Linked DNA regions of Macaca fascicularis. The protein of the gene in region 1 binds, or shares a complex with, the protein of each later gene. Links are inferred from orthologs where the notes say so. Each region holds a gene or a part of one and is shown in the gene's direction. Other genes may lie near its edges.

Region 1 (4,126 bases):
AACGCTCATCCAGCCTCTCCTCCCGCAGGACTCTGCAGGTCAGGTGACCCCCTGCCTCCTGCCCAGCTGCTCTGTGCCTAGACGTGGTTCACCAATCTGTCTTACTGGTGAGACCGACCTGATGCGCACCTGCCGGGTTTTACGTGACCCCCTAACAGCAGCTTTTCTCCCGGGCTCAAATCCCTCTGCAGACCCCAGACCAGAGCATAGCATGTGCACACACCAAGGTCACCAGGTGGTTTGGGTATTTACCTTTGGCTAGCTCTGAGCCCACCGCAGCATGGTAGCGGGAGCGCAGCTGCGCGGGCAACCGCCGGGTTTGTGGCCGGTTGGCGGGCTCAGTGCCGCCTCAGTAGGCTCTAGCAGTGGAAAACTAAAGCGACTACCCTAAGATACCCATAGCGAGAGGAGAGGGGCTGGAAGGGTGCTGGAGACAGGCTGTAGTGGGGCTAAAGGAGCAGACTGACCGGTGCTGCGGCCGGCACCCGAAGCAGCGAGCAGCGCACCTCAGCTGCGGTTGCCGCGCGGCATGGTGTTTATCTGTGGGTTCAGTGCCCACAGCGTTGTCCACTCTCGAAATCACCCTAAACCGGCCATAAACGCCAACCAAAATCCCCTTTAACCCTTCCCTAGAACCGCAGGACCTGCGAAACTCTGCGGCCGCTTTGTGGGGTCCCCCTCTGCGCAGCACGCCCCCCACCCCTCCATCGGTGCCACCGCAGCTACTGCCTAGGGGGCTTTGCTCTTGGTGGTACGCACCCGAGACCTTCTTATTCCCCTGCGTCACCATCCACATAAACAAGGGAGCACCCTGCTTGCGCTGCGTGGGCCACTGCGGAGACCCCTAGAGTGTGATGAGGGTGGGGGCTGTTAAAGTGCTTTACCGGAGCCAACCTCAGCAAGCAACAAACAAAAGCAGTAAAAAGTACACCCAAGGCATTTAAAAAACAAATTGTGTGCTCGCATACTCGGCATCCCCTCTCCCTCGTCTCTCTCTGCTTCTCTGGTGGGCTCACGACCACCTGTCGCATCCCCACGCATGCCTGTGCCCCTTCTCAGGCACCAAAAGCCTTGCGCTCTGGACTAGGGGCTTGAGATCCGGAGCTGCCTGGAGGCTGGGGGCTATGACTCAGTGTTTCAGGGGTATCCTGGGGTGATGAAACCCTTCTTCAGTCCCCCCTCCCCCGAGGAGTCGGTTGGGTTGGGGAGGGAGGATTTCAGCTCCTGTACTCCAGCGTCCCGAGGCCCACGTCTTGCGTCACGTGTCCCGCAACGCAGGAGAGCTTTCTCTGGCCAGGGGAGAAGCGAGGAGAAAGATTCCAAATCAGTCAGGGAGAGGAGTGGAAGGAGCCAAAACGTCCCTGCGAGGCCTGCGCTCGTCAGCCCCCTTACCCAAAGTCCCGGGCCGCGGCGCGAGGAGCAGGATTCTGGAGCTGGAGCCAGCTCGGCACTGGAACCGGCGTCCTCTGGTGGCAGCGAGAGAGCGCTACTGGCGATTTTCGGACCGAATCGGCACGCTCGTCAGATCCAAGCAGGCGGGACTGGCCTGGAGGAGAAAGAAAGAGAGAGGAGGGCATAAGGACAGACCAAGGAAGAGGGGCTGGGGGGCATACTGAGGGGATAAAAAGTGGCCAGAAAGGAGCCAAGACTCCACCAGCAACAATTGAGTTGCTTCAGCCTCAGTCTAGGGTTCCAGGCCTTGAAGCCCCCCAACCTCACAAGGGTTGGAAAGTGAGGCTGGTGAACTTTCCAGCTGGTACTTTGATTTAAAAATAACAATAATAATTTTTTCACCCTAGTTCGGTTGGGTGCTCCGTCTTACGGAGCCCCAAACTTATTTTGAGAGGCCGCCACCCTGTTATGGGCGTGCGCAACTGCCTCCACGGCAATAATATGTCAGGACAACGCGATATCCCCCCTGAAATCGGGGAACAGCCCGATCAACCATCTTTGGAGGCCCCAGGGGCAGCTGCCCCCGGTGCTGGGCCTAGCCCAGCCGAAGAGATGGAGACCGAACCGCCTCACAACGAGCCCATCCCCATCAAGAATGACAGCGAGGCCTGTGGACCCCCAGAGGTCTCCAGGCCCAACTTTCAGGTCCTCAACCCGGCATTCAGGGAAGCTGGAGCCCATGGAAGCTACAGCCCACCTCCTGAGGAAGCAATGCCCTTCGAGGTCGAACAGCCCAGCTTGGGAGGCTTCTGGCCTACACTGGAGCAGCCTGGATCCCCCAGTGGGGCCCATGCAGGCCTTGAGGCCTTCGGCCCAGCATTCGTGGAACCTGGAGCCTTCAGTGGTGCCAGACCAGGCCTGGGAGGATACAGCCCTCCACCAGAAGAAGCTATGCCCTTTGAGTTTGACCAGCCTGCCAAGACAGGCTGCAGTCAACCTCTCTTACAGGTCCCAGACCTTGCTCCAGGAGGCCCAGGTGCTGCAGGGGTCCCCGGAGCTCCTCCCGAGGAGCCCCAAGCCCTCAGGCCTCCAAAGACTGGCTCCAGAGGAGGCTACAGCCCTCCCCCTGAGGAGACTATGCCATTTGAGCTTGATGGAGAAGGATCTGGGGACGACAGCCCACCCCCGGGGCTTTCCCGAGTTATCGCACAAGTTGACCGCGGTGGCCAGTTCGCGGCAGTCGCGGCCTCGAGTGCGGTCCGCCTCACTCCCGCCGCGAACGCGCCTCCCCTCTGGGTCCCAGGCGCCATCGGCAGCCCATCCCGAGAGGCTGTCAGACCTCCTCCTAACTTCACGGGCAGCGGCCCCCCGTTGGAGATCTCCGGACCCCCGCTCGAGATTGGCAGCGCCCCCGCTGGGGTCGACGACGCTCCCGTCAACATGGACAGCCCCCCAATCGCGCTTGACGGCCCGCCCATCGAGGTCTCCGGAGCCCCAGATAAGAGAGAGCGAGCAGAGAGACCCCCAGTTGAGGAGGAAGCAGCAGAGATGGAAGGAAGCACAGCCGCTGATGCCGCGGAGGGAGGAAAAGTCCCCTCTCCGGGGTACGGATCCCCTGCCGCCGGGGCAGCTTCAACGGATACCGCCACCGGGGCAGCCCGTGCAGCCCCAGCGGATCCCGACTCCGGGGCAGCCCCAGAAGATCCCGACTCCGGGGCAGCCCCTGCCGCCCCGGCCGATCCCGACTCCGGGGCGGCCCCTGACGCCCCGGCCGATCCCGACTCCGGGGCGGCCCCTGACGCCCCGGCCGATCCCGACTCCGGGGCGGCCCCTGACGCCCCGGCCGATCCCGACTCCGGGGCGGCCCCTGACGCCCCAGCGGTTCCAGATGCCGGGGCAGCCCCTGACGCCCCAGCCGATCCAGATGCCGGGGCAGCCCCTGAGGTTCCCGCGGCCCCTGCGGCTGCTGAGACCCGGGCAGCCCATGTCGCCCCAGCTGCGCCTGACGCCGGGGCTCCCACTGCCCCAGCCGCTTCTGCCACCCGGGCAGCCCAAGCCGCCCGGGCGGCCTCGGCAGCCCCTGCCTCCGGGGCCAGACGCAAGCTCCATCACCTTAGACCCCCCAGCCCCGAGATCCAGGCTGCCGATCCGCCTACTCCGCGGCCTGCTCGCGCGTCTGCCTGGCGGGGCAAGTCCGAGCGCAGCTGCGGCCGCCGCGTGTACTACGATGAAGGGGCGGCCAGCAGCGACGATGACTCCAGCGGAGACGAGTCCGACGATGGGACCTTCGGATGCATCCGCTGGTTTCAGCATCGGCGAAATCGCCGCCGCCGAAAGCCCCAGCGCAACTTACTCCGCAACTTCCTCATGCAAGCCTTCGGGGGCTGCTTCGGTCGATCTGAGAGTCCCCAGCCCAAAGCCTCGCACTCCTCCAAGGTCAAGAAGGTACCCCTGGTGGAGAAGCGCAGACAGATGCGCAAAGAAGCCCTGGAGAAGCGGGCCCAGAAGCGCGCAGAGAAGAAACGCAGCAAGCTCATCGACAAACAACTCCAGGACGAAAAGATGGGCTACATGTGTACGCACCGCCTGCTGCTTCTAGGTAATGCGGCGGACTCTGCCTGCGGGCAGCAGGGCCGCCGGGGAACTGGGTAGGGGGTGGCAGGGCTGCCTGCTGGGGCTCGGGGCTCGACAGTGGGAGGAGGGGATCCAGCCAAAGGCGGGAAGAGCTTGCTAG
Region 2 (4,252 bases), on another chromosome or scaffold:
AAGCATAGGATTGCTCTGTGTGTGTGTGTGTGTGTGTGTGTGTGTGTGTGTGTGTGTGTGTGTGTGTGTGAGAGAGAGAGAGAGAGAGAGAGAGAGAGAGAGAGAGAGAGAGACAGAGAGAGAGAAGAAGAAGGAGGAAGAGGAGGAGGAGGAGGAGGAGGAGGAGGAGGAGGAGAGGTCGATTGATTTTTTTCCTTTCCTTCTCAACATGTCACTTCCCTGCATGGGAATTCCTGATATTCCTGGCAGCCCGGAGAGAGGGGAGATGCCCCCCTGGTGACTTCTGACCCTCCAGGAGTAACCAGAGAGAGCGCGCGCGAGCGCCTAGCGCCTGGCGCAGGACGAAGATTTAACCGAGAACAAAAGAACGTTTGCCAATCAGAAAACGCTACCCGAGAACGAGGATAACCCCGCTTTGTGTTTTGAAAACTCTTTAATTAGCCTGGTTTCTAAGACGCATTTAAGCATTTCTATGCAGATTCTAAATGGAGGATCTAATGGTTGCTTCTGCAACGAAGATGGGATCCCGAAAGGCCACACGCCGCAGAACCAAAGCACACGGGGCCACTGAGACGCCCGGCGCGTCGTACAGAGTGTTCCTGGGCGCTCGGTCTCAGGTTACTTCTAGAACCAGTCTCCCCAACGCCGTCTTCGTTTCCTTAAAACCTCGCTAGAGCCACCCCAGCTCCCCAGACTCCAGGCCGTGCGCGCGGGCGGGGTGGCCTGAGCCCGGGTTCCCCGCGCTCCCCGCTTTGGGCCCTTCCTCCCACCGTCACTCGGCCCCCTCCGCCCGACTCGGGTTTCTCCTGAGGCGGCCCCTCCTCCTTTTTACAACTCGGGAGAGGGGAGCGGGGACTGTGGCCTCGCGTGGACTGTTTGGGTCCAGGGGGAAAGAAGCGATCCTCAAGGCGCACCCCCTTCTCGCCCCGTCCCAAACCACCCATTGAGGACCCGGCGACCCGAAAGCCCCGCCAGAGCCAGTCTTTGCAGTCCTAACGCGACTCCCGGTCACGTCTCTCCCCGCAGGGGCGCTGCGCGGTCCTCGCTCCCCGCAAAAGCTGCTGGCGAAGGAGCCCCTGCTCAGGAATGCGCATCTGAGTGCACCAGGAAAAGGAACAAATCTTTGAAGCAAATTCCCTTTCTGCGCGTTTTCCCCCCTGAGCGAATTCAGGGTAAAAGTTTTTCCGAACTTTTCCCTCCCAGTCCCCCGCCCCTCCCCTCAGGAATCCGCCCAGAGCGCCGCGGACACCGCCTCCGCCGCTCCCGCGCCCGCCCCTTCCGACTTCCGCCCAATCCAAAGGCGGCCACCGAAAAAACAAAGGCTACCATTGGGCCGCCGGGACCTGGGGCCGCCCCCGGAGTGGTTTGTGAATGGGGGGAGGGGAGGGGGCGGGCCGGTCCGGAACCCCGCGAGCCCGACGCTTCTTCTGGCGACCAGCGCGACTCCGAGGCGTTAGTCGGCGCTCCCTCCCGGCGGGCGGCGGCGGCGGGCGCCAGGACTTGCGGCTGGGGCTGCGCGGGGCTGGAGGGGCCAGGGCCAGGCCGCGGGCACGAGCGCCTCGCGGTTTCGGACGCAGTGTGACTGGATTTCCAAAAAGAACTCGCCGCGCTCCCGACTCTGGGGCCGAGATCGGACTCAGCGAGAGCCGGCCGTTTGGCTGAAACTTGGGGCCGAGGTTTTGGGGTTGAAGAAGGAGTGGGGTGTGGAGGAGGAGGCGAAGGAGGCGGCGGCGAGCGGAGCCTGGAGGCCAGGAGGCGGGGCAGCACCGCGGAGGCGGCGGCTGGGGCGAGCGGGCGGCGGCGCCAGGGGTTCTCCAGGAGGGGGTTCTCCTGGAGGGGGCCCGACCGGGAGCGGGGGCCGTGCGCGCTGCCGTGCGCCGGGGGTCCAGAGACTTGGGCAAACTTTGAAGGGTGCCCGGAGCCGCTTGTTGCTCCTCGCGGCGGAGGGAGCCTCACCGTTAAGTCCTCGCGGGGAGAGCAAGGCGGCCCTCCTCGGCGCCCCCAACCCAGGCTGACGAGTTTTGGGCCCCCGGCGGCCCTGCGAGTGCCGGGCGGCGGCGGCTGCGGCGCCCCCGCGGCGCGGGCACCCAGGCGGCAGCGCCCTTTGCTCCACGCCGCCCACGGCCCGGCCCCGGCGCCGTGAGGACTCTCATGCGCCGGGCGCGGCGGCGCCTCCCCGCATCCTTGCCTCTCCCAACCGCCTCGTCGCACTCCTCGGGCTGAGAGCACCGCTGCACTCGTGGTCGGCGATGCGGGACCCCGGCGCGGCCGCCCCTCGCTTGTCCCTGGGCCTCTGCGCCCTGATGCTGGTGCTGCTGGGCGCGCTGTCCGCGGGCGCCGGGGCGCAGCCGTACCACGGAGAGAAGGGCATCTCCGTGCCGGACCACGGCTTCTGCCAGCCCATCTCCATCCCGCTGTGCACGGACATCGCCTACAACCAGACCATCCTGCCCAACTTGCTGGGCCACACGAACCAAGAGGACGCGGGCCTCGAGGTGCACCAGTTCTACCCGCTGGTGAAGGTGCAGTGTTCTCCCGAACTCCGCTTCTTCCTATGCTCCATGTACGCGCCCGTGTGCACCGTGCTCGATCAGGCCATCCCGCCGTGTCGTTCTCTGTGCGAGCGCGCCCGCCAGGGCTGCGAGGCGCTCATGAACAAGTTCGGCTTCCAGTGGCCCGAGCGGCTGCGCTGCGAGAACTTCCCGGTGCACGGCGCGGGCGAGATCTGCGTGGGCCAGAATACGTCAGACGGCTCCGGAGGTCCAGGCGGCGGCCCCACTGCCTACCCTACTGCGCCCTACCTGCCGGACCTGCCCTTCACCGCGCTGCCTCCGGGGGCCTCAGATGGCAGGGGGCGTCCCGCCTTCCCCTTCTCATGCCCCCGTCAGCTCAAGGTGCCCCCCTACCTGGGCTACCGCTTCCTGGGTGAGCGCGATTGCGGCGCCCCGTGCGAACCGGGCCGTGCCAACGGCCTGATGTACTTTAAGGAGGAGGAGAGGCGCTTCGCCCGCCTCTGGGTGGGCGTGTGGTCGGTGCTGTGCTGCGCCTCGACGCTCTTTACCGTTCTCACCTACCTGGTGGACATGCGGCGCTTCAGCTACCCAGAGCGGCCCATCATCTTCTTGTCGGGCTGCTACTTCATGGTGGCCGTGGCGCACGTGGCCGGCTTCCTTCTGGAGGACCGCGCCGTGTGCGTGGAGCGCTTCTCGGACGATGGCTACCGCACGGTGGCGCAGGGCACCAAGAAGGAGGGCTGCACCATCCTCTTTATGGTGCTTTACTTCTTCGGCATGGCCAGCTCCATCTGGTGGGTCATTCTGTCTCTCACTTGGTTCCTGGCGGCCGGCATGAAGTGGGGCCACGAGGCCATCGAGGCCAACTCGCAGTACTTCCACTTGGCCGCGTGGGCCGTGCCCGCCGTCAAGACCATCACTATCCTGGCCATGGGCCAGGTAGACGGGGACCTGCTCAGCGGGGTGTGCTATGTTGGCCTGTCCAGTGTGGACGCGCTGCGGGGCTTCGTGTTGGCGCCTCTGTTCGTCTACCTCTTCATCGGCACGTCCTTCCTGCTGGCCGGCTTCGTGTCCCTCTTCCGTATCCGCACCATCATGAAACACGACGGCACCAAGACCGAGAAGCTGGAGAAGCTCATGGTGCGCATTGGCGTCTTCAGCGTGCTCTACACAGTGCCCGCCACCATCGTGCTGGCCTGCTACTTCTACGAGCAGGCCTTCCGCGAGCACTGGGAGCGCACCTGGCTCCTGCAGACGTGCAAGAGCTATGCCGTGCCCTGCCCGCCCGGCCACTTCCCGCCCATGAGCCCCGACTTCACCGTCTTCATGATCAAGTACTTGATGACCATGATCGTGGGCATCACCACTGGCTTCTGGATCTGGTCGGGCAAGACCCTGCAGTCGTGGCGCCGCTTCTACCACAGACTCAGCCACAGCAGCAAGGGGGAAACTGCAGTATGAGCCCCGGCCCCTCCCTACGTTTCCCACCCCTGCCCTCTTGCAAGAGGAGAGGCAGGGTAGGGAAAGAACTGCTGGGTGGGGGCCTGTTTCTGTAACCTCCCCCTCTACTGAGAAGTGACCTGGAAATGAGAAGTTCTTTGCAGATTTGGGGCGAGGGTTGATTTGGAAAAGGAGATCTGGGTGGAAAGCGGTTTGGATGAAAAGACTTCAGGCAAAGACTTGCAGTAAGATAATGATAACGACGATGTGAATCGTGAAAGGTACAGGCCAGCTTGGGC
Region 3 (4,076 bases), on another chromosome or scaffold:
TTAAAACAAAAGGATGATTTATCTGGGCTGAAAATAAAACTCCTGCCTACTGAAGTCTGGTGCAGCTGAGTTATCACTATTTTCGTCCTGTAATTTGTTTTATAGGGAACTAATTAACAGGGCAAAGTCTGAAGCCAAGAAAGTAAATCCCATTTTGCTGTTTTCCTTTTCTCTAGCAAGATGCAGACCTGGTCTTTAATTAAAGTGCAAGTTCCAAGGGTACTATCAGCTACCGAAATGGGGAAACACTGGGCAGAAAAGATCATGGTGAAACCTGCTGTGTAGAGCTCAAGAAAGATCATGGCAAAGAGAGGAACTGCACAGGCAACCTCCAAAAGAAGAGATTGTTTTCCTCAGATGTCCCCTTCTTATCCATCTTTTATCTGCTCCCCATAACTCAGAATTTCTTCCCTGGCTCTACTCAACTGAGCATGTACCACGAATATCCTTTTTAAAAACTGGATTTCAGGCCCGGTGCGGTGGCTCACACCTGTAATAACAGCACTTTGGGAGGCCGAGGCAGGTGGATCACATGAGGTCAGGAAAGCCCAGCCTGACCAACATGGTGAAACCCCATCTCTACAAAAATTAGCTGGGCGTGGTGGCGCACACCTGTAATTCCAGCTACTCCGGAGGCTGAGGCAGGAGAATCGCTTGAACCCAGGATGCAGAAGTTGCAGTGGGCCGAGATCGGGCCACTACATTCCAGCCTGGGCGAGAGTGAGACTCTGTCTCAATACATACATACATACATAAAATAAAATAAAAAGTGAATTTCTTTTCCCAGATAATTCCTGTTTTGGGAGCGGCGTTTTTTTTTTTAAAGGTAGCTACTTTCCCATCAAACACCCCTGTCCCAACCTCCCCCTTCTCTGGGGTTTCTTTTTGGATCTGATCCCTCGGTGATCTTTGAGGTTGGGCTTTGCTGCCCGGCAGGTGCCACTCATCCTTCACCCCTCCTCTCCCAGCTCACCCTCTTCGCCGCCTGGTCTCAGGGTCTTCTTCACTCCTTTCTCCCTCTCTTTGTCTCTCTCCCATCCCATTCCTGGAAGTTCTGGACTGGAGGTGACTGCTCTGGCTTTTCCTCCCTCCTAGGACCCTCAGATAGTATAGGGGGCAAGGGGAGTGCGGCGGGGAGGGCGCAGGATGGGTTGGCGAGGAGAGTGAGTGCTGGGTTCGCACCGGGAGCCGGGAGCCTGACGTCACCACGCCCTGCCTGTCAATCTCCAGCGCGCGCCGCTCGCAGCCGCCTTTTCTGCCACCAACTGTGTCTCTCACTCGCGGCGCCGGCACAGCGACAGGCGCCCCGCGCTTGCCTCCTTCCCGGCCGGGCCGCCTCCTGCAGGCAGCTGCTCAGTCCGCGCGGGGAGCTCAGCCCGGCGCCCCGCCTCAGCGCCCATGACCAGCGACTTCCAGAAGTCCTGACGCCCCAGGTGAGCGGCCGAGTTCCCCAGGGAACTTTGAGGATGTGGGGAGAAGGATAGCCAGGGAACGGGTCTTTCCAGAAGAGGAGAAATGGAGCCAAGCTTGACTCCGACCCTCCACTCCCCCCATACACACACCCTAGTCTCTCCTCCCAGACCCCCTTCTCAGGGGTCTCTGGGCTCTAGGGCGCTCCAAGCTTCGCAAGGGCAGAAACTTCGCTTTCAGCACCACGGACAGCGTATCCGCTGCCCAGCTCCCTGGAGATGTCCTGGTCGCGCCGCCACAACCCGGGCGGGACTCTCCCAGGATGACACTCCTAGCTGGTGCACTCGTATGCGTGTGCAAATACAGACATCCTTGGAGAATTGATCCGTGTGCATGTGAGTGCATGTTGTCCTGGTGTATATCTGTGCAAAAACTCAGAAGTCCGCGTGGGTATTTCACTCACTTACTCAACAGGTATTTATTTTGGGATCTCACTTAACCCATGATTCCCCGATTTGCTCTGGGGTCCCAGGGTGGGGTGGACAACTCAAGTGGTGCAATGCGAGAGGAGGCTCTATGCGTGGGAAAGTTTCCTGGCAGCCTGAAGGGTACACCTGACGCCTGCACTCCCTCCCTATGCAGGGTGCAAATCCGGCCGCAATGAACGCGAGCGCCGCCTCGCTCAACGACTCCCAGGTGGTGGTAGTGGCGGCCGAAGGAGCGGCGGCGGCGGCCACAGCAACAGGGGGGCCGGACACCGGCGAATGGGGACCCCCTGCTGCTGCGGCTCTGGGAGCCGGCGGCGGAGCTAATGGGTCTCTGGAGCTGTCCTGGCAGCTGTCGGCTGGGCCACCGGGACTCCTGCTGCCAGCGGTGAATCCGTGGGACGTGCTCCTATGCGTGTCGGGGACAGTGATCGCTGGAGAAAATGCGCTGGTGGTGGCGCTCATCGCGTCCACTCCGGCGCTGCGCACGCCCATGTTCGTGCTGGTGGGCAGTCTGGCCACCGCTGACCTGCTGGCGGGCTGTGGCCTCATCTTGCACTTTGTGTTCCAGTACGTGGTGCCCTCGGAGACTGTGAGTCTGCTCACGGTGGGCTTCCTCGTGGCTTCCTTCGCCGCTTCTGTCAGCAGCCTGCTGGCCATTACGGTGGACCGCTACCTGTCCCTGTATAACGCGCTCACCTATTACTCGCGCCGGACCCTGTTGGGCGTGCACCTCCTGCTTGCCGCCACCTGGACCGTGTCCCTAGGCCTGGGGCTGCTGCCTGTGCTGGGCTGGAACTGCCTGGCAGAGCGTGCCGCCTGCAGCGTGGTGCGCCCGCTGGCGCGCAGCCACGTGGTGCTGCTCTCCGTCGCCTTCTTCATGGTCTTCGGCATCATGCTGCACCTGTACGTGCGCATCTGCCAGGTGGTCTGGCGCCACGCGCACCAGATTGCGCTGCAGCAGCACTGCCTGGCGCCACCCCACCTCGCCGCCACCAGAAAAGGTGTGGGTACGCTGGCTGTTGTGCTGGGCACTTTCGGCGCCAGCTGGCTGCCCTTCGCCATCTATTGCGTGGTGGGCAGCCACGAGGACCCGGCAGTCTACACTTACGCCACCCTGCTGCCCGCCACCTACAACTCCATGATCAATCCCATCATCTATGCCTTCCGCAACCAGGAGATTCAGCGCGCCCTGTGGCTCCTGTTTTGTGGCTGTTTCCAGTCCAAAGTGCCCTTTCGTTCCAGGTCCCCCAGCGAGGTCTGAAGGGCTCGCTCCATGTCCTCTCACCAACACCACACCCCCAACAAGCCAGCCTTTGGTAAGCTTGGTACCTGCTGATGAACTCTGAGATCCCAATGGTGTGAGTCTGACTGTGGAAAGAAAAAGGGACTAAAGAGAAATTCAACAAACTCAAAAGGACAAAGAGGCTTGTTGGCACTTTACATATACAGTGTATACAGGTGTACATATATATACAAATATTTGTATCTTCTGGAGGTGTTCAGGATGTGGAGCTTCCTATTCTGTGAAAAACCAAGAAAAAGATACGATTGTATACTCAAATTGTACATCACATTTGTCAAACGAATACATTCCAATACTGCTTAATTATAGCACTTTATTTTTAGCTGCTGAACTGCCAGAACAGTGTTGCCATTTTCAAGGGCAGGGAAAAGGGAGTAAAAGGTGTATTTTTGTTGTATGTGATAGAATATTTTGCTGCACATGCATCAAAAAATTACAACATATTTTGTACACGAATAAACCCATTACAAGAATGTAATTTGGGGTATGTGACTGACTATAGAATTACTATTAGAAAGCTGAATTATAAGTGTATAAGTGTCTTTATTTCCTTTCTTTCTTGTTTGCTTGCTTTCTTGCTTTCTCTTGCTTGCTTTCTTTCTCTTTTGTTTGTTCCAGATAGAGTCTCACTCTGTTGCCCAGGCCTGAATGCAGTGGCCCAGCTCAGTGCAACCTTGAACTCCTGGGCCCAAGAAATCCTGCCTTAGCCTTCCTAGTAGCTGGGACTACAGGCATGCCACAGCATGCAGCTTACTTTATTTATTGTCTTAAGTTTTTAAAATTTCAATAGATTTGAGGGTACACGTGGTTTTTGGTTACATAGATGAGTTCTTTCATAGTGAATTCTGAGATTTTTGTGCACCTGTCACCTGAGC
Region 4 (3,964 bases), on another chromosome or scaffold:
CTGAGGATGATGAGAAGTGGCATGCAGGGAGAGCTGGAGCGACCTTGCAGAGCCAGAAACTGATTGATGGAAGAAGGGGAGGAGAAGCAGGAAGAAAGTCAAGGGTGACTGAGGCTCCGAGTCTGTTGGGCTGGGATAGAGAAGACGTGAGCAGCAGGGGAAGGCAGGCTGGCCAGCTGATGATACTCCTATAGGGTCCTTTGCCTGCCGACCATTTCCATTTGTACAAAAGCCCCTGGGGAAGTGGAAGAAAAGTAGTGGGAAAACCTTCACCTCTGACAGGGCAAGACAAGACTATAACACTTTTTCCTTCTCCCATCTTTAAACTGGAGGATCATCTTGGAACTTAAGATCTACGAGGTGCTTGGGTTTTTATATCCAGAGGAGGCCTGGGCTCAGAAAAGCAGACAGCTATCAGGTTCTTCATCTCAGAATCCATTGATGTGGCAAAATGAAAAAATAAATTAATAGTGCCACTTCAGTATCTAAATGAATTGGGGTTTGGCCAATGTCTGCAGGAAGCTTCTACAAGAACTCAGTAAATGATTTCCATTTGAAAACACAGCTCAAAGAGCACTTAATAAGTGCAAGTTGGTGATGATAATGATGATACACAGAGCAGCAGCATCTATTCAGTTAAGCAAATGTTCCTGGGAAACAGTGATAATGAACCAGGTCCAAGACCATGGGCAATTCTAAAAAAGCGTGCGGGGCATTTTGTTGTTTTAAAGATCTGCTTCCTCAACCTGTCCACCCCGCCTCCCTGCTGCTGATCGTGAATACCATCCTAAGCAATCCTTTTGGCCCTGAATGTAGCGGTTTAGGTGAAGGCGTGGAAAAGCCAGGACTGTGGAGACTGGAGCTCCCCGGGGAAACCACAGGAACGAAATAGGTCACAGGGCTCCCAGGCAGCGCTCCCCTGCCCCGCCCGGTGCAAGCCCGGGTCCGCCGGCTGGGGTGGGGCGCGCGGCGCGGCAGGCGGGCAGGGCGACCATGCAGTTCTCAGCCTCCCGGCTCTTTTGCCCCGCGCTCCGGGGCCGCCCTCGCCTGCCCGCACCCTAGAGCAGTCCCGACCCGTGGAGGCGCGCGCGGCCTCCCGGGGATCCCGCGGGCTGGCGGGCGGCCGGGCGCGCGCGGGGCGGGGGCGGAGCGCGCGCGGGGAGCGTGTGGGCCGGGCGGGCGCGGCGGGGAAAGCTGGGCGCGCGAGCCGAGCCTGCGGCTCACCTGCAGCCGCGTCGCTCACCTGCAGCGGAGCGCGCGCCCTGCGCCCTCCCGGCCCGCTCCGGAGCCCGGCCTCCGCCCTTTGCCACAGCGGGCGCCTGCGCCGACATGCGACACGAGTAGCCCGCGCGCTTCGGAAGCACCGGAGGAGCCCCCTCGGCCTGGGCGCGCCAAGGTGACCCCCTCGATGACCCCCCCGCCCCCGCGGGCCGCCTGTCCCCGCACCCTGTCTGTCCCTCTCGCGTCCGACTCCAGTCCCCGCTGCCAGGGGAGCGGAGGCAGTGCATGGGCATCTGTCTGTCTGTCTGTCTGTCTCGGTACTTCCATTGCACACACCTCCCTCTCGTGGCCCTCCCGACTGCTCCGTGCGCACGGGGGGGAGTCTGGGAGCCCCTCTTTGTTCCGGTCGGGGGTGCGTTTGAGGGTGTGCACGCGCGTGGGGGATGCGTTTGGAGGGTGGGAGTTCGATGGAAATAGGCGATTTAAATATTCCATCGAGGATGGCGGCCCCTGACTCAAGACCTGCCGCTGCCGCGTGGTTTTCTCGGCAGCAGCCCAGATGTCAAACAGTTGTTGGTTTTCAGCATGCAAGATGTGATTTTCCAATGTGCATTCCCAGCGCTTTTGCAAACAGACCGCCGCGAGTCCGTGTGTGTCTGCCTCGCTCACGCTGGTGTTTTGAAGTCCAACCCTGTGTTTTCCCCAGTGCCAAACGGCATTTGTGTTGTGGGGTTTAAACCACAGAGACTTTGGCTTTTGTTTCATTTCCCAACAGTTCCTCATTCCCGAAGCTTGTGGCATTTGGTACTGGTGTCTGAGCAGGGGCTGGCTTTCTGTCTGTCTGTGTGTCTTTTGCATGATCTCGGATCGTCACCCTGCTGTATCTAAACATTAAAAAACCTGTCTTTTCGTTGAAGAGGACAGGGGTTAAAATGAATGAAGACCTGAAGGTCAATTTAAGCGGGCTGCCTCGGGATTATTTAGATGCCGCTGCTGCGGAGAACATCTCGGCTGCTGTCTCCTCCCGGGTTCCTGCCGTAAAGCCAGAGCCTGAGCTCGTAGTCAACCCCTGGGACATTGTCTTGTGTACCTCGGGAACCCTCATCTCCTGTGAAAATGCCATTGTGGTCCTTATCATCTTCCACAACCCCAGCCTGCGAGCGCCCATGTTCCTGCTGATAGGCAGTCTGGCTCTTGCAGACCTGCTGGCCGGCATTGGACTCATCATCAATTTTGTTTTTGCCTACCTGCTTCAGTCAGAAGCCACCAAGCTGGTCACCATCGGCCTCATTGTCGCCTCTTTCTCTGCCTCTGTCTGCAGCTTGCTGGCTATCACTGTTGACCGCTACCTCTCACTGTACTACGCTCTGACGTACCATTCGGAGAGGACGGTCACGTTTACCTATGTCATGCTCGTCATGCTCTGGGGGACCTCCATCTGCCTGGGGCTGCTGCCCGTCATGGGCTGGAACTGCCTCCGAGACGAGACCACCTGCAGCGTGGTCAGACCGCTCACCAAGAACAACGCGGCCATCCTCTCGGTGTCCTTCCTCTTCATGTTTGCGCTCATGCTTCAGCTCTACATCCAGATCTGTAAGATTGTGATGAGGCACGCCCATCAGATAGCCCTACAGCACCACTTCCTGGCCACGTCGCACTATGTGACCACCCGGAGAGGGGTCTCCACCCTGGCTATCATCCTGGGGACCTTTGCTGCTTGCTGGATGCCTTTCACCCTCTATTCCTTGATAGCAGATTACACCTACCCCTCCATCTATACCTACGCCACCCTCCTGCCCGCCACCTACAATTCCATCATCAACCCTGTCATATATGCTTTCAGAAACCAAGAGATCCAGAAAGCGCTCTGTCTTATTTGCTGCGGCTGCATCCCGTCCAGTCTCGCCCAGAGAGCGCGCTCGCCCAGTGATGTGTAGCACCCTTGCACCCAGGAGGACTCTGCATTTACCAAGCACTTCCACTGCCTGGCCAAGGTTTGAGATGCTTGCCTTGAATTCCTTGCATCGGATTCCCTCTCAAGCCACAGGAGCACTTAGCATTCGTGAAGCAATGACATCGTTTAGATGAGTTAAGTAATTGAAGTGAAAATAATGTTACCGGTGTTTTCACCATTAAAAAAGTATTGTTGAGATCTTCACGCAATATTATTTTGTTTTGCTTGGGGGCAGGGGTTTCCTTTTATATTTTGTTTGGAGGGCTGATTGGGGGTAGGAAAGGAAGGGATATGATACGCCCATGATGTTGTAAAAAGTCAATGAGTTTCAGAGTTTTTACCTGGACTTTAAAATAAATTTGAGTGATTGAGGAAAACTGAGGAAGACTTACTTTTTCCAGACTATTTTGTTTTACATGATGGTAGATTTTTTAATGCTGCATGTATGTAACAGAATATGACCCCTTTCAATCCAATGCAAATAGTTTACATAATTGTGTTTGGAAGGGTCCTGATTTTGCTAACATGAACTCAGTAATGTCACCGACATTGCAACCCTGAAACCATTCTTATTCATTCTTTCTTTCCTTTCGGCAATTACTGTTCACAAGAATTCTTTCGGTATTTCTATAAATGTTGCAACTCCTTCCGCATGGTTGACTGTGTTAGCTAGGCCACTAGTTTCAAATGTTGCCATGTCAATCTAGATTCCAACGGGTCATTTTTCAATATAGTTTTTCAATATGTACTTTCTAAAATGAATCCTGAAATAGGTTTTGATTTTCATAT
Region 5 (4,139 bases), on another chromosome or scaffold:
TAGTTTATAAGTCTTTGTGGATGTCTCTAAAACAGAATGGTTTATTAAACTAATTTGGGAAAGGAGAATTAGTGTGTATCTTTCTCTTTTTCTGAAAAAAAAAATACATTCTTGCACAAAAGCAGTCACGTTTTTCACAATTATCACCTATACAATGATAAACAGTGAAATAATTACTTTAATAACAATTTGTTTGTTTTCTCTGCATCTGACTGAATTCACTCATAGCTCAATATTAACTCCAGAAGGGAAAAAAAAATCTTAAGACAGCAATTGAAAATGCATTTGTTGGCAGCAATTTCTATCCCTGAATGCACAGTAAGTTCTGAGCTTATGAGCTCAGAAAAAAGAAAAATCTTTGTGATAAATAATGTATTTGATAATGAGCAGCAGGAGAAAAAAAAATGTCTTCTGTTGAACAGTTCAAAATGAAATAGAGTAAGTATGGGAAAAGGTTGTTCAGTATGAAGGACATCTTTTGCATCATGAATGGGTATGGAGCCAAAACAGCCGTAACTGTTTATTTTTTACTCTCATTCTTGCCATGCCAGTCCATGGCATATATTTTCAGACCTTTCGTGAATACCAATTTTCAAAAGGGTTTAGTTCTCCGAATTTATGACACTGGTGATTTAGTTACATGACCTCATTTGACCTTTTCAACTCTACAGATAGGAAGGTATGAGTATCCCCATTTTGTGTATGAATAAGCTGAGACTCAGGAAGGTTAACTCACTCCCTCAGGCTCATAGAGCTTAGCCGACAGCTGAGCCAGTGTAAATTAAATAAATAACAGGGAGTTCAAAATAAGTGTCTAAAATACTCTTAAGAACAGAAAGCTTTAAGCTCCTTCAAGGGTCTGGCTTGCCGGGTGACCTAGACTCTAAGTGGAGTGTCAGTTTCCAGTTTTTGACCAAATAAAGCATTTATCCCATAGGAATATTAAGGCATCCATTTACTTTTTTCTCCCCATTATCCCATTTGTCCCCGGAGCAATGTGGGTGTTTGGTAGGTGCCAGACAGTAAATTACTGTTCTAAATGGTGCCTCAGTGGCCCAATAATATTAATAATAAGGAAGCATCTCCCACAGTGTCAATCTGTAGACAAGGGAATAATTAATGTATTTATCAAAGCAGATGGATTTCAGAGGAATGTGAATCCTGCTGTAAGCACAGCACCAGGGTTTTTTTGTCTTTTTTTTTCTTTTGCTGAAGTTTAGTGAACTGGGCTTTATAACTTCTTACCTGATTATTTTGTTGCCCTGTTTGTCCTTCCTTCTTTCCTTTTTTAGCAGTTCTACTCTGTGCTTCAACTTTCCATCCCCTTATTAAGACTGCTGCATAGAAAACGTAGGAGGCTGGAGACAGGCAGGGAAAGTGGGGAGTGAGGAAGACAAAACAAACATTCTGAGAAGGAACTGTTCCGTCCCCCGAGCTGACAGCGCCCGCTCTTTGTTTTGTGATGACTGCTCCCTGGCCTTTTGGCTCCGAGGGAGTGCAGGGCAGCAGTGTGAAGACCTGTTTACGTCCACTCCCCACTCCCCGGGGCGGATTCACTGTGGTATTCACAGAGCCCGGGACAGAGCCTGGCAGGACGCAGATGGATGCTCGTGCCCGTCGGCTGGATGAATGAAAGGTGAGCAGCAAAGGCGATACCAGGATCTTCCACGGCGGGACTGGAGGAGGAGAATGGGACTGTGCGGAGCCTGCGGGAAGAATCTGAAAGTGTCTGTGTGATGCAGAGAGACATGGAAAAGGGGACGTCCCAGCGGCTGGAACTGGGACGCAGGAACGGGAACAGGGAAGGCCTAAGTTAGGGACCACAAAGGTTTTCAGGAGAAAAGTGCAGCGAGCCGAGAGGGTAAGGGCGAGACAAAGAGCAGCAGCCGAGGCTGTTCGTGGGAAGAAATGGGAAAGCAGCAGCCGGGAGGGCGGGCGAGCTGACGGACGCGAAGGAAGGGGCGCGGGTGGGGAGGGGCGCCGGGAGCCGCGCGGGGCGGGGCGGTGCGGGGCGCGGGGAGGCGACTCGGGGCTTTGGGGGCCGGAGGGGCCCGGCCGGGCGTGGGGAAGGCGGGGCGCGGGCGCCGCAAAGTTACTTGGCCTGCGTTCGCCCGGGTCCGCGTGCTGGTGGCTGGCCCGCGGGAGGAGCGAAGCGGGGCTCGGCGGGCTGAAACCCGAAACCTCCAGTCCCGGAGCGCGGCGGGGAGGAAGGAAGCGGCGGCGGCGGTGGCCGAGGCGGGGAGGCGGCTGGGCCGGGGCCTGAGCTGCCGCGGCAGCGGCTCCTCGGTGAGCACTCGGCGTGGGACGCGGTCGCGGGCCCGGGCCCGGGCGGAGAGGGAGGTCGGGATGGAGCCGGGCTAAACTCATTGTGCGGGGTTGAGGGCTCAGGTTGCGGGCCGGGAAGGGTCCCCGCCCCCACGGCGCTCCCCTTCTCCTCGCGCCCCTCTCAGGGGTTGGGGCTGTCCTCTGGCCGCACTGCGCCTTGCTTTGGAGAGCTGGAGCTCTTTGTGGGAAGATGTTGGGGGCGCGCCCCTCGCCTGCGGCCTGGGGCTTCTGAGAGGCCCACCCCATTCTACTGGGTGCAGCCCGCCCCCGTTTCTCCGGCGCCGCCCGAGGCCCCCTACCCAGTCCGCTGGATGGGAGGGCGTAGGTGCGTGCCCTGGACTCGGCCGATGCGGGCCGCGCCCCCTGGGGCCAAGAGACTTCACGACCCGCTCAGGGCAGAGGGTGTGGGGAGAGGCGGTCACGCCCCTCGGCTGGAATCCGTGAGGACCAGGTGAGCAACCTTCTCCCAGCCGGGACTCAGGGCGCTGTCTCCCCGAGCCTGGGCGGACGGCGGATGGCGCGCCCAGAAGTGGCCCGGCGCCGCGGGGTGGGCGGCTCTGCCTCTCAGATCTGCGGGAGGGAGATTCGGCTGGTTCTTGGAAAGGGGAGGACTTGACCAGCCCTCGGCGCCCTCTGGGCCAAGCTTAACCCCCGTGCAACCTTTGGACAAAGGCATATGGGATGAGAACGTCTGTGGGATAAGTGGGGTGTCTCCTGTGTTTCCCGGAGGTCTGCTTACCAGTAACCACACAGCTGCGCATTGGCATCGCTTTATATCACATCTTGGAGGCTATTTTTGCTCGTTATTGTACCTTTCATCCCTTTTGCAAAGTGCTTTCAAGAGCAGGTCATTTGATCCTCCTCCCTGTGAAGCCGTGAGGAGGTGTGTGGTTTTGGAGGGAAAGAACCTCAGTTCCTTGATTGTCCAGTGGAGACACTGATAACCTCAGGTGAGCCTGTCTCAGCGTGCTAGGGGCTGGGGGAGGATGGCCATCGTTGTGGCTCCTCCGTGGAGCCAGGCGTGGATTCAGCCCGGCCTCTTCTCCCCTAGTGACCTGGACCTCCAGATGAGTTCTGGAGAGCTACTGCTTCGGGGGAATAGGCGGTTTTCCCTTGTAATCTATTTTACTGCAGCTACTGGGAGCAAGTGAAGAGAGGCATTTTTCAGGCCCTCAGGGCAGAAGGAGGAGGTGGGAGGGACCTCAGGTCACAGAGAAAGAGGCTCTTCAACTGTAACTGGAATCCATGGCACCCATTTCTGTTACTTCTTCCAGAGCACCTCTCCCGGTCCTCCTCCACACCTGTCTTATTTTATACTTGTCAGGTGCTTACAAGCACTTTCATATACACTTCTTCCTTCACACAACAGCCTTGTGAAGCTCTGCTAGCCCATTTGATAGGTGAGGAAACTGAGGCTCAGGAGAGATGAAGCATTCTTGCCCAGCTAAGTAAGCAGCCCAGATTGAACTCAGATCTTTTGCCTTGGTAATGCTTTTCACGTGGTTTCCTGATGGCACACAGGTGGGTCCTTTAACTCAGGGCTTCTCCCTGCCCTGTAGCTCCACCACCATAACATCAAGAATAGAGACCCCTCATTAAGAGGCCTGCTTGACATTTTGGAACTAAATCCAAGGCCGCAACGATATCCAAACCGTTCTCTTTGTGTTGCAGTCTGGTGCACTGGGAGTCCTCTGAGAGGTGAAGGAGCACTGTGTGGTCAGAGGGCTGTGAGCTCTCTGTTTGGGTTCCGAGGAAGACAGAATGGGCTGAACTGGAGCTGACCTAAATGTCAGCAAGAGGAGGTACAGTTCTGT
Region 6 (4,038 bases), on another chromosome or scaffold:
GTAAAGTATTAGTTTTATTATTCTTAAAGAAAGACCTACAAAGGAAGTATTGAAAATTCCTGATATACCCTGATCAACTTCAATATGAAAAGCCTTGCTTATATACAGCCTCATCTTTTCCATCTCGGGTAGGAGAAAAAAAGAAAAAAAAAGCCACCACCACCACCACCAACCCTTAATGTCATTTTACAAACACAGATTCAAAATGTCCTGATTACATCTTTAAAATTGGGTTAAATATTTTCATCCCAAATCAATTATGTTATTTTAAATAATATTTTCCCTTCATTTATAATAAAAGTTTGTGAGGGCAAGATTCAAAAGTGATATTTCTGACTTTTTTATATATCAATAGCAAGAAAGTTATAGGAGCTAATTTCACTTCATATTAAACCGCTTATAGATTTGGCATTAACTTTAACTTGCTGAAGTACAAGAGGTTTTGTAATAACAATAAAAATCTTTCTCAAATAAAATTTTCAAGTTTCATAAAATTATTTGTCTCAGCTAGTTAGTTCAACTGCTCCTAGCCATCTCTGTTTCCAAGAGGAAACTCAAAGGAGAAAATAGTTCTACAATCAAATACTATATATCCAATCCCATTAGTCTCTCAAAAAAAAAAAAAAAAAAAAGACTGTATGAAGTTGGCTACCTTAATCCCAGCCTTAAACAGCACAACAGCCATCATTAAACCCCTCAGCCTCAATTCTCCCTTTTCTGTTTTTCTCCCAGGAACTTCATCACCCTGAATCTGTCTACAATATCCTCCCCTATCTCACACATCCAAATGGCTCATTCTATTTTATCTGTTCCCCTCTTGAAGTACTTCTTCATTTTGCCATTGCATTACAATCACTATTAAACATGTCTTTCTCCTTTACTAGGTTAAAAAAAAAAAACTCCTTTGGGTTGATAACCAGTTCGTATACATCTCCCCGCACACTGCTGGCATGATGAGTGAATGAATGATTGAATTAATGAATGAATAAAGAAATAAAATATTTACTATATATTCCATTAAGTAAGGGGCATATTATATCTGTACACACTTGAAATTAAGATGCAATGAGACAAGTGAGTTATAAAAATTACAGTACGGTAAAAAAATAACTAGAAACATCTTTAAAAGTATTTAAGAGAGTTTTGGCTTCAAACTTGGATAATGCACGTCCTTCTCATTGAGATGCTACTTCCTCATTGGTTTGTGGTGAAATATGAGTGCAATTTCCTGTCCCCTCAGCAGTGTTGGTTTCTCTTCTTGACTTGATGCAGGCACAGATTTATCAAGCTCCTCAGTCAACAAACGCATCACCCGAAGAAACATGGGTAAGTGTAAGATTAAAAAATAAAATAAGATTTTAAAATAGATAACATGCTTTGGTATAATTGTCAGCGATGTTCGCAACATTCTACCTGGTTTAGGCTGTATAAATGTAGTGATGCAAATTATTATAAGAGAGAAAGAAATGAGGAAGACACAGGGTTTCCTCTACTTTGAGCAGTGGTAAAGGGCCAAACTTTAAATTTAGAACTAATTAGGTAAAACTATAGATATAGAAAAAGGGGGTTGTTCATACTTTATTTTCTTTCCAGGAAAGAGTGCTTTGGCAAACTTGATTCAGTATTTAGGAAGAAGCCGACCACCACCTCCTGGCTTTAGAGCTATCTGGCACCAATCCCTCATCTGTACAATGGTCCAGTAAATATTTTTTATATCCATTGGAAAAAAATGTGATGTTAGGAATGAATATTTCCAGTATTAATAAATGTCAAGTAATAATTATTAGTTAATAAGTGACTACCACAGTGCCTGAAATATATAGTAGAGTCTTAATAAGTAACTATTAAACTGATAAATGAAAGCAAGCATTTTCTATAACACTGTAGGAAAATATTTTACTTTTGATCATCGTCATCAATGATTTGTACTATTTTTAGAGCTGTTCAAGAATAGATACACTTTAATATACTGTAGATTGTCTTTTTTGACATCTGGTAAAAATTTAAAAATTAAAAACTCACCAAAATTTCTCAGTTCTGGCTCTAAAAACAATTTTCTCAAAATTTGATTAAAGGAGCCAAAATAAGATCTGAAAAGATATATGAATACTGTAATAGGAATTATATGCAGTATTCCATGAAAATCTCAGATCCACCCAAATTAAATGAACAACTATTATCTGCAGAGCTTGGTATTATATGTGAAATGTTACCATACAAATCACACTCTGAGCACCTCCAGCTTTTCTGCTATGCTCTGGCTAGATGGCTAAGGATTATTTCTTTTCAGGAAATGTAGGGGACAGCACAAAGATTGGAGCACACTACCAATGTCATTAAAGCAATATTACCAGCTAACCTACAGTGAATGCTTCCCATGTGCTATGAACTTTGCTTCATATGTCATTTCATTTAACCCTCACAACAATCTTAGAAACTGGGTACTAACTTACACATGTGAAAACGGGAACTTAGAGAGGTGAAGAAACACAAATGGGCCCAGAGTGCTTTTGAGAGGCATTTGAATTGTCTCCAGAGCCCACGCTCATAACCACAAGCCTGCACTGCCTCTGCGTCACTACAGAGAAGAGGGCCTCTGTCTGCTTCATCAACCCATCCTGTCTTGTGGTTAAGTCAAGGCAGGAAATGCTTTTACAGCTAGAGAAATGTATTCCATTGAAAACCTTATAAACCTTTCTAAAAATCATTTTTTCCATTTAATCTATCATCCCATTTTTAAAGAAAATGATGCCTATTTATTGAGTAACACAGACAGAGGAGGAAGAGGTACACACTGCCCATTACCCGACTTTCTCGGTCCTGGTCTTAAGGAAGGATGTTTTCATGGTCCAGGTGTTCTCCCCAAGACACACGAGCCTAGTGTTGGACGTGTTGTGTGTGCATCAGAGTCCCATCCGCGGGGGCTGATTCAATCCTTCCTGCATCTCAGACATTACTCTAGTGTCCTTTTCCTACTTCAATTATATCCTTTAGAAGTTTCTTTAGTGGGGATTTTGGATGTAAATGTTCTCAGTGGTAGTTTATCTGAAAATGTCCTAATTCTTCCTCTGGTCCTTGAAATTTAGTTCTGTTGAGTATATAATTATAGGATGACATATATTTTCTTAGCAATTTGGAACTTTTAATCTTCTGCTGTCTATTATCGCGGTTGAGAAGTCCTTTGTCCATCTCAATTCCATCCTTCATAGGTAGTCCATCTTTCCTCTCTGGCTCTTTTTTCCTTAGTCTTTGGCGAACTGCAATTTTATTGCAATGTGTCTAAGTATAGGTTTCCATTTTTGTGTTTTTAATCCTATTTGAGATTTTCTAAGCTTCATTAATCTGTGGATTCCATGAGGATTGAAGATATATGAGGATTCTTCATCCATCCTCAGGATTCCTTCATCAGTTCTAGAAAGCTCATCAGCTTTGTGAATATTGCCTTTTCAACATTCTCTCTTTTCAATCTTTATGGAATTCCAATTATGTATATGCTACCCTTTTCACCTTTTCTCCATATCTCTTTTATGTTTTCCCCTGTCCTTAACATGCTGATAATTTTGTGTTACTTCTTTATCTCTATCCTGCACAATACTGATTTTCTCTTCAGCTGGATCTAATCAGTTGGTTAGTCCCTGTGTTGAGTTTTAAATTTAAATTATCGTATTTTTTATTTTTAGAAAGTCTTTTTCAGTCTTTCTAAAAATATGGCTTGTCATTTTTTAATAATCTCTTCCTCCTTACTCATGTTTTTAAATCCCTTATTTTGTTTCTTTAAACCTAGTCTCTAGTTTCTCTGATCCCTAGTGAGTTCCTTCATACACCTTCAGGCCATGCAGAGCCCCAACGCTCACTCACCTCCCTGATAGCAGCTCCCACCTCCTTTCTTCCATCACGAATTTTTCCCCCTTTGGAAGCTTCCCTATTTATTTAACATGCTTCCCTATTTATTAAACATACTTATTTTGTGTTATATTAATTTTATCTCTAAAATTTTGTGGATTTGATTTACTTTGCTGTTTCTGCTCAATCTCACAC
Region 7 (3,979 bases), on another chromosome or scaffold:
CGAAAGGCCTGCAGCAGTCTGGCGGGAACACGCTGCGGAGCTCATTCCATCTTGGCTTCTCCAAAAGGGTTCATACGGACTGGCGAGTCTTTCCCCTGCCTCCTCCAAGTGTCTGGCACCAGTTCTACCGTTTGAAATGGTCTTGGACTGGGATACGAGGCCTCAAAGTCACGAGAGGGCAGGGCAGGATGGAGGTGGGGAGAGAAGGCGGGCTGACCCGTCCTCCAGCCCCTAGGCAAACCTGGAAGGGGAACAGGCAGAAGGACCACCGATGCCACCTCGGGCCCGGCTCTGGCCTGCAGGCTTGGCAGGCGCGGAGGCGGAGGCTGCCAGGTCCCCGGGAGGCAAACGCAGCGCCGCAGTGGGTGCTGGCGGAGAGCCCAGAGCCGCGCGTCTGAGCGGCAAGCTGCCTATGAGTGTGGCTTCTGCACTCACCAAGCTTCGCAGGGAGCTCAGCCCTGTCCCCAGTGCTTGAGCAGAGGCTCATCCACAGGGGTCAGGTGGAGGGCTCCAATGGAGCTTCTCCTGGAACGAGGGGCCCAGTCAACAGGGTGGCTGAGGAAAGTGTCCTCAAAGCTTAGAGTCCGTCACTTCCCAGGTGAATCAGCTCTCCAGGAAATGGAGCTAGATATTTTGTGGGGGTGTTTCCTCAACACAGTCTCAGGAAAGTTGTTTTCGGGACACCTGGACCAGGGAGTCGCGTCGGGTTTCTCGGTAGCTGGAGCGCGGCCCGGCGCGCGGCGCTGGCACATCGCCCCCACACTTGCCCGTTTCCCATTGCCACAGGCAGGCCGCCTCTGCAGAGCTGTCGCAGGGCTCTGGGCTTCCCTCCCTGGAAGCTGATTGTCCTGCACTCCAGCTGTTTCCCAAATCTTTCCTTCCTCCCAGCACCCCTAGTGAAACGACGATTCCAGCTGCGGACCACATCTGTCTCAGTTACTTCCAAGCCACCTACTGCCCCCTCGCGGAGTGCGTGGGGCTCCCGGCTCGCAGACTCCCACGACAAGTAGCTAGCAGCAAAAGGCGTGGTAGCTGGGGCGGTGGAATGAGACAGTTGTCAACAGCTGGCGCAGCTGCCGCGCTGCGCACCGGGACTGGCGAGTACGCAGCCCAGGTACTGCCCCTTCCCAGTGACGTCTCTGCAGCGGGTTATAAAAGCCTCGTGCGCAGCTAACTGCCGAGCTGAGCAACCCGAACCGAGAGGTGCCCGCGAAACTGCAGGCGGCGGCAGCGGCAGCAAAAGCGAAGGAAAAATCTCCAGCTGGACACGGAGCTCCAGAATCCTGACCATAGGCTCAGAACTTTGACAGGTCGCGCTGCAATGGGCCCCCACTTCGCTCCTAAGTCCTCACGTAGCACAGGGCTTTGCCTTTCCCGGCGGAGGAAGGGGAAATAGGAGTTGCAGGGAGCAGCAGGTGCATAAATCATAAAGGCAGGGATCTCTTGCTTCTTAGAACCATGACCGGTGGAATTTCTTTCCCTTTTTCAGTATAACGCAAGAGATGCTGTCTCCAGACTTCTGAACTCAAATGCCTCCTGCAGCTTGAAAGTGGAGGAATTCAGAGCCACCGCGGGCAGGCAGGCAGCGCATCCAGAAGCGTTTATATTCTAAGCGCCAGTTCAGCTTTCAAAAAGAGTGCTGCCCAGAAAGAGCCTCCCACCCTCCTGTCCGACTTCAGCAGGACCCTGAGCCCCAGGTGCCAGCCACAGGACTCTGCTACAGAGGGGGGTTGTGTACAGATAGTAAGGTTTTACCGCCTAGCTTCGAAATGGATAACGTCCTCCCGGTGGACTCAGACCTCTCCGCAAACATCTCCACTAACACCTCGGAACCCAATCAGTTCGTGCAACCAGCCTGGCAAATTGTCCTTTGGGCAGCTGCCTATACGGTCATTGTGGTGACCTCTGTGGTGGGCAACGTGGTAGTGATGTGGATCATCTTAGCCCACAAAAGAATGAGGACAGTGACCAATTATTTTCTGGTGAACCTGGCCTTCGCGGAGGCCTCCATGGCTGCATTCAATACAGTGGTGAACTTCACCTATGCTGTCCACAACGAATGGTACTACGGCCTGTTCTACTGCAAGTTCCACAACTTCTTCCCCATCGCTGCTGTCTTCGCCAGTATCTACTCCATGACGGCTGTGGCCTTTGATAGGTGAGATTAGCCTTTGTGAAAAGGCGAGAAAGTGCTCATAGAGAACCATGGCATTGCTATGAGGTTTGGGGCTGGATGGGGTATGGGTCAAGGGCAAGGTTGGCCACCCATGCTCTGAGGGATTTTTTGCTGTTATCAACTGAGTCAGTTGTTGATGGGAACTTCATCTTATCTATTTTAACATTTTTTCTCCTCTTTTTTACCCATCACTAATCTCTCTTCCTTTCAACACACATCCCCCTTTTCTTCATTTAACTCCCCTTTCTTCATCTCTTCTCCACTCATCTTCCTGACACTTTCAACTTCTGCTTTGCTCCTTTTCATATATTCCTTCTCCCCTTTACCCTTGCAGGCTGCAAACAATACCTAGGGCTTGGTCCAAGGACTAGACCCTGGATGGGGCTTTGTAAATTCCTCCCGGCCTATTATTCTGTCAGACAGCCTCTTGTTGCCTTCATGTTTTAAGTACACCTAGAGGATTCTAGAACTTTCTGCTCCCACTGCAACTCTCCAGTTTTTTGTTGTTGTTGTTTGGTTGGTTGGTTGGTTGGTTTTTTTGTTGTTTTTTTTTTAATGTGAAATTGCATTTCATCAGTGTTATAAGATACTCAGAATTCTAATTCAGTTTACTCTATAATGCTAGGAATTCTCATTCAGGAATGAGAGACAACTATGCTATCCTTAAGAAACTCCACAGATAGGGATCCAGGGAACTTACCCAAGAGGTGTTCTAAATTTCTCCTACAATGTAAAAGTTATGTATTTAGCCTGTCTCTATCCACAGAGAAACATGCTTGGCAAAGGCATTTGAGAGCTCTTCCGTTCTTGCAACCAACAGGTTAGGGTTCCCGAAGCTGATTGAAAGTGAAAAGGTTGGCATTTCAAACACTGGGGCTGGTATTCTGGAATAAATGGCTCTTCAGGTAACATGATGGAAAATTGGTTATTGTAGCACAGCTCTATTGGTATTGTCTCCTTTGTGAGTATCTTAGGTCTCCAATGTGTATGTCTATGTGTGCACAGGTGTTAAATGTTTACCTGGGATGTGAAAGTGTGTTTAAAACACCTACCGCTGTGATTTTAAAATGGATTCTTTTGATGTCCTTCCTGAGAAAACTGAATGTGAGAAACTCAAAGAAGGAGCTAAGACAAAACTTCCAAAAAAAATTCCAAACTATTAACCCTCTTTGCATAAAGATTGTTTATAACTTGCAATTTATTAGAAGCCTTTTTTAGCTCCTGTAGTCAATGAACACTTTTAAAATCAGGGCAATCTTCATTTCCATCCTTTGCAGTGGTGTCCTAATACTGATTTGCTAGTTCCATGTACATCTCTCTATATGCAGTTCCTATGTGCTTACTATGTTTTATGTAAAACAGATTGTGGAAAATCAGTGTATGTTTTAAATGTAGATGGTAAACCAATTACTCAAAGTGGGAGTGAAATGAATTATTTTGCAAATTTATCTTTTGTACTACACTGATTTTCAGATATTCAGTTTGCTGAAAGTGAGGTACACTTGTAAATCTTTCTGCGTTCACATGCTCCTTTAATCTCATGACAACTTCCTTAAACTTAAAAAAGTCAATAGCATGATATATAAGTGAATATCTGGGTAGTGAAACCTGATGCTGTTTCAGCCTTTCACACACTCTCTTGATGCCCCCTAAATTAGGGGGGAAGTTTTTTTGGGGAGGGGGTTGTTTGTTTTTTCTGCACTGGGGCTTTGCACAAACTCTAGGAAGACCTGTCAGTCAGTGTCAGCTGGAGCTTTCAGTAGCTGATGGAGCACCAGCAGACAGCTCTCTCCTTTTGGCTTA

The links.
Region 2: the proteins of GNAS (region 1) and FZD7 are in contact, whole or in part, in a cryo-EM structure (PDB 9EW2), measured with the Homo sapiens proteins. The link is inferred for Macaca fascicularis from reciprocal best matches to the Homo sapiens genes GNAS and FZD7. Residues at the interface, in NP_000507.1 of Homo sapiens: Asp381, Gln384, Arg385, His387, Leu388, Gln390, Tyr391, Glu392, Leu393, Leu394; in NP_003498.1 of Homo sapiens: Pro285, Ala364, Lys368, Trp369, Gly370, His371, Ile374, Ile450, Ile453, Met454, Asp457, Thr459, Lys463, Leu464, Leu467, Lys552.
Region 3: the proteins of GNAS (region 1) and GPR6 are in contact, whole or in part, in a cryo-EM structure (PDB 8TYW), measured with the Homo sapiens proteins. The link is inferred for Macaca fascicularis from reciprocal best matches to the Homo sapiens genes GNAS and GPR6. Residues at the interface, in NP_000507.1 of Homo sapiens: Gln35, Arg38, His41, Val217, Phe219, Asp323, Asp343, Leu346, Ser349, Thr350, Arg356, Tyr358, Cys359, Phe376, Arg380, Asp381, Ile383, Gln384, Arg385, His387, Leu388, Gln390, Tyr391, Glu392, Leu393, Leu394; in NP_005275.1 of Homo sapiens: Met107, Asp165, Arg166, Ser169, Leu170, Ala173, Leu174, Thr175, Tyr176, Tyr177, Leu182, Ile248, Val252, Arg254, His255, Ala256, Gln258, Ile259, Leu261, Gln262, Gln263, His264, Lys276, Gly277, Thr280, Leu281, Arg332, Asn333, Gln334, Glu335.
Region 4: the proteins of GNAS (region 1) and GPR12 are in contact, whole or in part, in a cryo-EM structure (PDB 7Y3G), measured with the Homo sapiens proteins. The link is inferred for Macaca fascicularis from reciprocal best matches to the Homo sapiens genes GNAS and GPR12. Residues at the interface, in NP_000507.1 of Homo sapiens: Gln35, Arg38, Ala39, His41, Val217, Asp323, Asp343, Leu346, Arg347, Thr350, Tyr358, Cys359, Pro361, Phe376, Cys379, Arg380, Asp381, Ile383, Gln384, Arg385, His387, Leu388, Gln390, Tyr391, Glu392, Leu393, Leu394; in NP_005279.1 of Homo sapiens: Met79, Arg138, Ser141, Leu142, Tyr143, Ala145, Leu146, Tyr148, His149, Ser150, Glu151, Ile220, Ile223, Val224, Arg226, His227, Ala228, Gln230, Ile231, Gln234, His235, Phe237, Lys248, Gly249, Thr252, Leu253, Ile300, Arg304.
Region 5: the proteins of GNAS (region 1) and GPR161 are in contact, whole or in part, in a cryo-EM structure (PDB 8SMV), measured with the Homo sapiens proteins. The link is inferred for Macaca fascicularis from reciprocal best matches to the Homo sapiens genes GNAS and GPR161. Residues at the interface, in NP_000507.1 of Homo sapiens: His41, Lys216, Val217, Phe219, Phe376, Cys379, Arg380, Asp381, Ile383, Gln384, Arg385, His387, Leu388, Tyr391, Glu392, Leu393, Leu394; in NP_001254539.1 of Homo sapiens: Arg125, Ala128, Val129, Leu130, Pro132, Met133, Met137, Ile211, Val214, Ala215, Lys218, Ala219, Lys267, Ala268, Thr271, Ile272, Trp327.
Region 6: the proteins of GNAS (region 1) and GPR65 are in contact, whole or in part, in a cryo-EM structure (PDB 9BHL), measured with the Homo sapiens proteins. The link is inferred for Macaca fascicularis from reciprocal best matches to the Homo sapiens genes GNAS and GPR65. Residues at the interface, in NP_000507.1 of Homo sapiens: Gln35, Arg38, His41, Val217, Tyr358, Tyr360, Phe376, Asp378, Arg380, Asp381, Ile383, Gln384, Arg385, His387, Leu388, Gln390, Tyr391, Glu392, Leu393, Leu394; in NP_003599.2 of Homo sapiens: Gln42, Glu48, Leu49, Leu53, Asp111, Arg112, Ala115, Val116, Pro119, Leu120, Lys121, Phe123, Arg126, Val206, Ala209, Val210, Asn213, Lys214, Ala215, Thr216, Glu220, Ile224, Leu227, Leu228, Tyr290, Cys291, Thr294, Glu295.
Region 7: the proteins of GNAS (region 1) and TACR1 are in contact, whole or in part, in a cryo-EM structure (PDB 7RMH), measured with the Homo sapiens proteins. The link is inferred for Macaca fascicularis from reciprocal best matches to the Homo sapiens genes GNAS and TACR1. Residues at the interface, in NP_000507.1 of Homo sapiens: Arg38, His41, Val217, Phe219, Tyr358, Phe376, Cys379, Arg380, Ile383, Gln384, Arg385, His387, Leu388, Gln390, Tyr391, Glu392, Leu393, Leu394; in NP_001049.1 of Homo sapiens: Met63, Thr67, Asn68, Asp129, Arg130, Ala133, Ile134, Ile135, Pro137, Leu138, Gln139, Pro140, Arg141, Leu223, Gln239, Ala242, Lys243, Val246, Met249, Leu308, Asn309, Phe312.

Annotation. Positions count from the first base shown.
Region 1 is NC_088384.1:114,906,205-114,910,330, forward strand, and holds the start of GNAS (guanine nucleotide-binding protein G(s) subunit alpha isoforms XLas), read left to right. Parts: upstream 1-1,326; 5' UTR 1,327-1,860; coding exon 1,861-3,991; intron 3,992-4,126. UniProt on the Homo sapiens protein: Guanine nucleotide-binding proteins (G proteins) function as transducers in numerous signaling pathways controlled by G protein-coupled receptors (GPCRs).
Region 2 is NC_088386.1:97,857,398-97,861,649, forward strand, and holds the start of FZD7 (frizzled-7), read left to right. Parts: upstream 1-1,452; 5' UTR 1,453-2,249; coding exon 2,250-3,974; 3' UTR 3,975-4,252. UniProt on the Homo sapiens protein: Receptor for Wnt proteins.
Region 3 is NC_088378.1:14,018,029-14,022,104, forward strand, and holds GPR6 (G-protein coupled receptor 6), read left to right. Parts: upstream 1-1,276; 5' UTR 1,277-1,433; intron 1,434-2,052; 5' UTR 2,053-2,070; coding exon 2,071-3,159; 3' UTR 3,160-3,679; downstream 3,680-4,076. UniProt on the Homo sapiens protein: Orphan receptor with constitutive G(s) signaling activity that activate cyclic AMP. Promotes neurite outgrowth and blocks myelin inhibition in neurons.
Region 4 is NC_088391.1:6,810,724-6,814,687, reverse strand, and holds the start of GPR12 (G-protein coupled receptor 12), read left to right. Parts: upstream 1-1,164; 5' UTR 1,165-1,396; intron 1,397-2,138; exon of another isoform or gene 2,139-2,145; 5' UTR 2,146-2,153; coding exon 2,154-3,158; 3' UTR 3,159-3,964. UniProt on the Homo sapiens protein: Promotes neurite outgrowth and blocks myelin inhibition in neurons. Receptor with constitutive G(s) signaling activity that stimulates cyclic AMP production.
Region 5 is NC_088375.1:25,801,651-25,805,789, reverse strand, and holds the start of GPR161 (G-protein coupled receptor 161), read left to right. Parts: upstream 1-1,339; 5' UTR 1,340-1,629; coding exon of another isoform or gene 1,630-1,636; exon of another isoform or gene 1,637-1,861; intron 1,862-2,185; exon of another isoform or gene 2,186-2,636; coding exon of another isoform or gene 2,637-2,776; intron 2,777-4,139. UniProt on the Homo sapiens protein: Key negative regulator of Shh signaling, which promotes the processing of GLI3 into GLI3R during neural tube development.
Region 6 is NC_088381.1:155,957,151-155,961,188, forward strand, and holds the start of GPR65 (psychosine receptor), read left to right. Parts: upstream 1-1,238; 5' UTR 1,239-1,326; intron 1,327-4,038. UniProt on the Homo sapiens protein: Proton-sensing G-protein coupled receptor activated by extracellular pH, which is required to monitor pH changes and generate adaptive reactions. Activated by an optimal pH of 7.4.
Region 7 is NC_088387.1:46,739,808-46,743,786, forward strand, and holds the start of TACR1 (substance-P receptor), read left to right. Parts: upstream 1-1,179; 5' UTR 1,180-1,769; coding exon 1,770-2,158; intron 2,159-3,979. UniProt on the Homo sapiens protein: This is a receptor for the tachykinin neuropeptide substance P. It is probably associated with G proteins that activate a phosphatidylinositol-calcium second messenger system.